Oryzias latipes: one gene and its partner. The protein of the gene in region 1 binds, or shares a complex with, the protein of each later gene. Links are inferred from orthologs where the notes say so. Each region holds a gene or a part of one and is shown on either strand. Other genes may lie near its edges. The genes, in order: tonsl and mms22l.

Region 1 (4,370 bases):
CTCTGTGTGATCTGAGGCTGCTCTGATGTTTAGCTTCCTGCTGACACGCTGCAAAAAGGGGAACCAAATAAAAATAATGATGCGTTTCTAAGAGTTGCCAGCAGAGCTTTTTTTGTTCTTTTTTTCCTCTTTATAACCTCCTGCTGTGGTGTTTTTCACTGATTTGTTCTCAGGAGGTCGGGATTATCTCTGAATGCCGCAAAACACAGGTAAATGTGTGTGCAGAACCAAACACCGTTTTCCCAACAAGCAGCCTTGAAAAATTCCCTTTGCTAAAATCATTTTTGGAAATAATTGCAGGAAAAAAAAACATTTAAAAAAAGCATGATCAAAGTCATCTTCCTTATGAGTTTTCATTCAAAAACAACCAAAAATTGGCATGATATGTAACTGAGTAAGTTGTTGCCAGCATCTGCTTGGCCACATGTTCTCCTCCTCACTTGTTCTATTTATTTATTTTCTCTCCTCTCCTCTCCTCTCCCTGGCAGGATGAACAGCTGGATTATGACCGCGTGAATTTGGGTTAGCTGCATCTGTGTCAACCTCAAAACTAGTTCAAATAATCCCAGGCATTGTTTTGTTTGCACTTCAGATTTCTGGATCCTTTGGTGAAACAGCAAAACAAGACGACTGGAGCAGACAAGCTACATGAATAGCCTTTTTATTTTAAAAATGGCTATGTCAATTAACTCATTTGTTTATATGAGTGAGTATGTGATTTCAAGAGACTAAAATAAAATAAAATAAAAAATCAGTCTCTTTCTCCCTAAACCTATTTTTTCATTAAACCTATTTTTCTTCATTAAAATAACTTACTTGAAATATTAAATGGGATCAAAATTAAACCAACAATAAAAATAACCTACATTATGCTCTAATGTTTTAAATAAAAAATACTCACTAATAATTGCACATTTCATTAAAATACTTTAGATTTACTAACATTTGTCAAAGGAAAAGAAACGTACGTACTGAGCAAGTATGTGGGTGTCCACAAGAGGGCGCTGTGGCATGGGGAAAAAAGCTAGTTCGGCGACTTCTTAAACATTATTTGATCTCCGTGTATGTCAGTTTCACGTTATTTGTTTTGGTAATTATAGCAATTTTACGTCTGTACTATTTTTATATCAAAACAAGATCATTTAAATAAGGGTGACTCTAATTCTGTTCCTTTGAAACGTCACAAGCTGACTGGCCAATTATCGATCGCTTCTATGATGGTGAAGTAACCCAACGTAACGTTTGACAGGCATACTAGACTAGAATAAACTCACTCGATTTTCACGTTTGAAATTATCTATATCATTGTTTGATATTTCATGCTATTTAAAGGTAAGGTTAGTCATCATAGTTTGGTAGGCGAGATTGAAAAGAAAAACTTTCAGCAGTGGTTATGCCTGTAAGTCAAAGTTTAGGTAAAAGTTAATCCTTCTAAAAGGATCGGCTGACGCTTTTTCCTGGCGGGCCGATCGGAATTGTTTTGTGTAATCGAAGCTAAAAACAGGCAAATATTCATACGTGTTTGATGTGCGAATTTGTTTTTCTTGCTAATAATCACGCAGGATTGGACACGCATGTGATTGAGAAACGACAGAGGATAGACCAAAACCCTGACATTTAAATGAAGAGAAACGTCTGATCGATTAATGTGCGAACTGGCGGTAGTTTAGTGGCGCTAAGTGAAGCTGCCTTACTGGTGAGGAGAACGAAAATGAGCTCCTCGCGGGAGATCAAGCGTAAGTATCGCTAACTTGTTAAAGTTTTGCTCTTGCTAAAGGGCGCGTGCGTCAACTGACTTGTTTTGATTTCCGCTCGCAGAGCTGCAGAAAGCTAAAAGTAAAGCTCAAGCTAGCAACAACCTAAAAGAAGAAGCCAACATCTGCAACCAGCTGGGAGAGCTGCTGTCCAGGAATGGTATTCAGCTTTGATCAACTCCAACTTAGCCGTTTAGGACCCTTGTTTTTCTTCATGCTTGTGTGTTATTGCAAGTTTTTCCATATGTTGTAGGTGATTATGAGGCAGCCATCAGAGAACATCAGCAGGAGCTGTCTCTGTCCGAGAGCTTGGATGATGTGATCGGACGAGCTGTGGCAAACCGCAAGATAGGAGAATGCTATGCAGAGATGGGGAACATCAAAGCTGCTCTGAAAGTGAGTAAACCTGAGGAACAAAGGATGACGGTCAGGTTTCAGACCCCATCATGGATCTGTGTGTGTGTGATTGAATCCCTCCAGCATCAGCAGTGTCATCTGGACTTGGCTCACTCTGTAGGCGATCACGCTGAGGTGCAACGAGCTCTAGCCACCATCGGTCGAACCTACCTCTTTCGTTATGAATCCGACCAATCCAAGAGCAGCTTGAAGAAGGCAGAGGATGCTTTCAGGAAGAGTCTGGCTATTGTGGATGAGCGTTTGGGAGGTCTGCACTGGTTCGTTTCTATTTTTGCAAGAACTATCGAATATGGAGGATTTGTCATAATCTTTTTTCTTTTGCAACCTGCAGGGACTGTCCCCGACAGAGAAATCGCTGAGATGAAAGCTCGTCTTTTCCTCAATCTGGGTATCGTCTGTGATCACCTGGGGGAGTCCAAACATTGCAGCGAGTTCATCCGACGCAGCGTCTTCATTGCCGTGTAAGAACAAACCAAACGTCGGGTGTGTTGTCGTGCATCCCTGATGGGTTGTCAGCGATCCTTTCCCTTTTCTTCTGACTTTCCAAAGAAAGAGCCAGCTGCTGGAGGATCTCTACCGGGCAAACTTCAACCTGGGTAACATCTATTTCCGTAACGGCGAGCACTCCAACGCCGTGCGGTGCTTGGAGCAGGCCAAAGAGTGCGCCAGGAAGATGAAGGATAAATTCATTGAGAGCGAGTGCTTTCACTGCATCGGCAAGGTACTGTCACCTCCGCTGCTCCCCGCAGCTGTGGCTTTACAGGTCTGAGTAGTTCATGCTGCAAATGGCTGTGAGCAGGTGCAGCTGTCTCTCGGGGATTTTGTAGCAGCCAGACGATCCTTGAAGAAGGCCCTCCAGCTGGGATCCCAGCAACCACAGGACAGAATGGCTGTAAAGAAAGCCTTCAAATACGGTAAGAGTTTTCCATCCGCTCGCTCTGGCCGTTGAAAGTATTTCTCTTTATCTCAGCAAAAAAGTGTTTTTCTCCTCAGCTGACCGGGGTTGTAAATTAGAGGAAGACTTGGGTGAAGATCAGGGCAAGAGGCTGGGCCCTCGTCAGGCCGTGGAGCTGGCGGAGCAGCTGGGGGACCTTTGCTGTAAGGTCGGATGCTACAGCAAAGCTGTGGATGCCTACCAAGCTCAAGTGAGAAACAGCAAAAGATGAACGCTGAACACGTTCGTTCAGGCCGTCTCTTACACTTTATTAAAAAACTAAAAAAACAATCTTTTGTGGTTTAGCTGAAGGGAGCTGAAGAGATGGGAAAGCCTGCCAGGGAACTGGCCGTCATCCACGTCTCTCTAGCCGCCACGTACACGGATCTGAGGCGGCACGGCAAAGCGGTGGAGCACTACAGGAAGGAGCTGGCTTTACGACAGGGAAATTCTGTCGAGGTGGGTGTGAAACTCCACTGTGGGGTCAAATCAAGATCGGTTTACAGACACACTCCAAGGAAAATTTTGTTTTTGTGGCATTTGTCTGATGATGGAGGAGATATTTAAAGAAACACAACTCAGAGGTTAATTTCTACTAGTATTTTTTAAATTTGGGCTAAAAACAACCAAATTATAATTAAAAGACCACTAAGCTTTTTCAATAGTTCTAAAGATGATCAGAGTTGGTCTTTAAAGGTATTGAAAAACCACATTGTATCATTGGAAACAGTTTTATATTTGAAAGCACACATTGTAATCTGGAAAGAAATATTGTAAATTTGAAAAAAAAAATTGAATGAAAGAAATACTAAAAACCTTTTAAAAAAAACAACTATAAATCTAAAACTGTTACCAAATCAAACACATTTTTTGTAAAACAGCTGCTTTTCTGTATTTTAAACTTTTTCAAAATGTGTTTTTTTCCTCCTCTTTTTAGTCCTCATTTTATTTGTTGGATCGACTCCAAAAATGAAAACTCTGAATTGATATTGTAGTTTGAGGGATGAAAAGGAATTAGAGAAAGAAAGCAAAAAAAAAAAAAAGTTGAAAATTCAAAAAAACAGCTGTTACAAATAAACATTTTTTTTCATCTAACAGTTTTATGTGTATAGTTTATTTTTTCAGTTCTGTATTTCTTCAAATAGGGAATATTTATCTTTTTGAATTTTACAATTTATTTACAAAAAATCAATATTTTTTCAATTTAACAATATGTATTTTCGTGTTTGAAGCTGTTAAATATTGTTTTTTTTTCAAATGTACTG
Region 2 (4,364 bases), on another chromosome or scaffold:
GACGCTTCTAAACAGTTCAACGGTTTGATCAGCAATATCCACAGGGAAACCAGTTAAACTCTAAAAAATGTGAATCAATAAATGTTTTTCTATTGTTTGAGGCAATCAAGCCAATATAAAAGTAAGTCTCCAACAGTTTCAGTACATCTATAGAGGAAATTTTATTTATTAGCTGCTCTTTTCTGCAATCATTTTTGCTGGTGATGATGTTTGGTGATGATTTGACAAATGCATATCAATTATAAATTGAAAGGATCTTTTACTCTAATAACATAAGATATTGCATTTGTGTATAAATTGGCCTATGTTAGCCAGACAGAAAAAATAATCCTTTTTCTGCATAACTTTACAATCCCAATGTATTATTAGATCTGTTAACTGTTAACTGTCTTTGTTTTATTTCCTTTTTACTTACAATTTTCTGTTTGGAAGAGAACCCAATAGAAAACTAAAAACAAAATATCATAAATGCCAATATAAATCGAACCTAATTTAAAATATATTTTGAAAGAAGCAGTTAACTACATTAATGTGTTATTTTTGAATGAAAATTTCATCTTAGTCAAGTTTTAATACCAACTCATATGATAACAGATTTTTCTTATTAACCAAGGTTAGTTTTGAATGAAAACATAAAAAATGACTTGATTAAACTTACAAGGTGAAAGCAAATCAATAAGGTTTGTGTAGCGCTTGTGTAGCTGATAGTTATGTGGTGAGAGAGAGGACCATATTTTGACAGCAAGCGTCAGGATGTCGTCATCATTTTATCCCCGCCCATTGACAGAAGGTTTATTCATCTCTTGTGACTGTCTGCACCTACATCCTATGTCAGAGTTTATATGGGTTTCAAGGGTGCAAGAAATTATTAAAATAGAACCTTGAGCTCTACATATACAGTGGGCCTATGTACATAAAAATTTATGGGAACTTATATGACTATTATCAAATAAACTCAATCAAAAAAATTTTATGTTTGTTTTTCTTAATTCATATTGATATAGATATTTACCAATACCAAAATATTTAAAAGTCATATTCTTAAAGGTTTTATTACAAAAATGTAGCAGAAAACAAGAAAACCAGGCTCAGTTAGACATCTTTTGACCGGACAAGATGAACATGCAGATGCAATGCATTGAAATTCACAAAAACAATATGGTTTTAAATGTGATAAATCATGAATTAATGGTGTGACGGCGGCACAATGTACTTTGTTAGACAAAGATCTGCGGGCATCTCGTTTTTATGTAAATGTTTCCGACTATGGCAGAACTTTGTTAGGCACTTTTGAATTTAAAATTGAATACCAATCTAAAACCTTTTTTATATATTTCCAGACAAATAATGGCGAGAGAAAGACACAACAACTTCGTGCTCAATCATTTTATAATCGTTCAGCGAAGACGGAAGTCTTCAACAGGGAGTCATCTTGTCCGGAAGTTCGACTAAAACACGCCTATTTTGGTAAGACTGCCCAATAAACTGCCTTGAAAGAAGTGCGCATGCGTTTGATAAATGCGCGGGAGAGCCTCAAAACCAAAACAACCGCGTCATGACAAATGTAGGGATTACTTAATTCTCCGCTTTTGATTCAATTTACACTCGATGCATTAGATCACTGATAACAGGAAATAAAAGGTTAGTGTCCACACAGCCTTATTTTAATTCTTGTAATGCCAGTTATCATTCCTGTAATTAATGTTGGTATTTGAATTAAGTAGAGTTTACTATAATTGCTGTAATCTGCGTGTTCGTTTCTCAGCTCATTGGGGAAATCGCTCGTGGTGCGACAGAATGTCTGATGACTTCAGCCAGTCTCTGACTCCCCCAGTGTCCCCATTCACTTCAGACAGTCATTGTGATCCGATTCCTGCGCGTCCACCGCATTTCTGCTGCTCTGAGGTTAAAGATGAAGCCGCTGCTGCTCTGTCACCTGAAGGATACGCTGCCAGAGGCTCCCTGAAACGGTACAGACAGACGGGCAAATTTTCATGCTAATGTGGGGCTTTGAGCTTCTGACATCCACTGAAGGAAACTACACTTTGAGTGCTGTAGTGTGGTGGTTTTTTTTTGTTTGTTTTTTCTGCCCATTATACAAAGTAAGATTTAATTCTCAGTTTACAATTCATTAACAATTTAATCATTCAGTTAAGGGTTTTTATTAGTTTGCAACTTGGAATTCATTATGAAAAATTTGAGTTCAATCTTAGATTTAAAAAACGAAATTTTAAATAAAAGCAAAATCACTAGTAGCACTAGTGAGCTAGTGAGAGATTTAAAGTAGCACTTTAAATCGTTGTGGGTTATTAGTACCATAAATAAAATCAAATAGCATTTAGGAAATTACAATTTATTATTAAAAAATTACATTTCAATTCTTTGATTTAAATCCATTTTATTGTAAATTTATTGCATACTAATTTGCATCTGTGCATATGCATCAAAATCATTGACTGCATAAGAAAACTGGACTGAGTGTCCCCTTCCACTTTGCGTTCCAGACAGGAAGTTCCTGCTGGCTCCAAGAATCCAAAACCCCATAGACGTCTATGAAGAAATAAACAATTATAGCACTAAAGACCATTGACTGTTTAACATATAACTGGACGGATCACATGTGACCTCACTCGTAAAAAAAAAGGCCTCGCTTCCGTTTCCAACTTAATTAAGTCAATGCTGTCGCCATTTCTCCGCGATATGTGCGTTACCATGTTGGAATCCGACCTCCTCAGGAAGCCACGATTGGTCCGTCTACATTTCTATGTCAGCCGCTCTCTGCAAACAGGAGTGAGTACGTTAGAAGGCCACACCCTTCCTATAAAAGCGGGCTTGGGAGAATCTGTCAATCAAACACTTTCAACGTTCAACCCAAGGCCAACTTCTTTTATTGAAGCCTCTTATTGGTCAGACTGATTATTCTGATGAACATAATGACTGAGTAATAGCTGTTTACTTCACTATAAAAGTCCATGGGATCTCGGCTTTTTGGGACATCCGGGTACTTCCTATTTGGAATGCCGGGGGCAAAAGTCGCTCAGTCCAGTTCTTATTTTACTGTCAAAAACCCATGACAATTGAAAATGCAATTGAGGTTGCTTTTATTCAATATTTTATTTTTTTTTAATGTAAGACTAAATAGTAAATTTCATATTGAATTCTAAATTGCAAAATATATTTTCAAATTTCAAGCCTGAATTTTCAATTGAAAATTGAATATTACTTAGAAATATGGGAGGAAAAAATCTTCCACAGTGGAGGAAGAGAATCTCTGTTAATAGTGTTGTTGAATGCCAGGATGCTGTTACGGCTGGACCCAGCACCAGCTGAGTGTGAGGCAGACACGGTAGAGATCTTTGGCTTCGTCTGGGTGACGGAGACGGCACTGGTGGAAAAAACCAAACTACTCTTTGGTCTGTTCAGGTAGATTTATCGCCTTACTTTAAAAGTCCTTTTCCTCAGAAGCATCAAACACAACTATTATAACTGATAATGTTCTTGATCATTTCATCTCTTTTCTGTATGTATTTCTGTTGGTTTTTGTGTTTCAGACAAAATGTTTACAAACTGGAGACTTTGGTCAAGTCCTCCTCTCATGACTTTGGTAAGTCAGTGTTTGTTGTAGTTCACAGATCTTTGTTTTGGATCGCCGTCAAGTCCAAACTCCATCGGAGGAGCTTACAAAAGCAGTTCATTCACCGGTACTAGTTTATTTTTACAATTGAGAAAGTCTTTTCGGAAATGAGATAAAAGCATCTTCAACTTCAAAAACGAAGTCAGGACGATTCTTTCTAAAACATTTTTGTTTTTTGTTCTTGCTACAGCAAAGAGACATGTAGGTTTAAATCAACAGATTGTATAAGTTAGTGTTAAGTCGTTGGATTTTCTTTGCCTACAAATCTAGATCACCTATATGTTTTCCCATGTCTCTGCATAATTTGATATACTGGAAGCACAATACAACACAAACAAATGAACTTCATTCAAGCGAGATCAAGATTTAGAAAACATGAACGTACACAGAGAGTCATTTGGTCCAGTTTCTTACTGACCAAACTCCAGCCAGAGCCAAAAAGTCCCACTTCACGGTTAAGACAAACACTCCTTGTGTCCTTTATTAAAATGTTGCCTTTACATTTTTTACAGTAGTTCAGTATTTAACTATTTTAAGTTGTATTTCTTTTAGCAGCAGCAAAAATAAGTTCCTTTCAAAATAAAACACACCTTGTGTCAAATAAGATCCTCCTCCTGCAGCAGGTTTGCATAAATTTTGATTTGATTCGAAATGCTTTATTTCAAGCAATCAACAAAGACGTATCAAACTTAGGATAATTAGACATTAAATCAAAGATGGCTTGAAAGGG

The links.
Region 2: tonsl (region 1) and mms22l share a complex: the UniProt entries of both Homo sapiens proteins name them as parts of the MMS22L-TONSL complex. The link is inferred for Oryzias latipes from reciprocal best matches to the Homo sapiens genes TONSL and MMS22L.

The regions. Positions count from the first base shown.
Region 1 is NC_019880.2:10,035,040-10,039,409, reverse strand, and holds the start of tonsl (tonsoku-like protein), read left to right. Parts: upstream 1-1,428; 5' UTR 1,429-1,711; coding exon 1,712-1,736; intron 1,737-1,818; coding exon 1,819-1,914; intron 1,915-1,989; coding exon 1,990-2,150; intron 2,151-2,234; coding exon 2,235-2,418; intron 2,419-2,502; coding exon 2,503-2,632; intron 2,633-2,720; coding exon 2,721-2,892; intron 2,893-2,970; coding exon 2,971-3,085; intron 3,086-3,164; coding exon 3,165-3,316; intron 3,317-3,411; coding exon 3,412-3,564; intron 3,565-4,370. UniProt on the Homo sapiens protein: Component of the MMS22L-TONSL complex, a complex that promotes homologous recombination-mediated repair of double-strand breaks (DSBs) at stalled or collapsed replication forks.
Region 2 is NC_019874.2:5,052,798-5,057,161, forward strand, and holds the start of mms22l (protein MMS22-like), read left to right. Parts: upstream 1-1,531; 5' UTR 1,532-1,641; intron 1,642-1,765; 5' UTR 1,766-1,797; coding exon 1,798-1,970; intron 1,971-1,980; exon of another isoform or gene 1,981-1,994; coding exon of another isoform or gene 1,995-2,062; intron 2,063-3,297; coding exon 3,298-3,423; intron 3,424-3,551; coding exon 3,552-3,604; intron 3,605-4,364. UniProt on the Homo sapiens protein: Component of the MMS22L-TONSL complex, a complex that promotes homologous recombination-mediated repair of double-strand breaks (DSBs) at stalled or collapsed replication forks.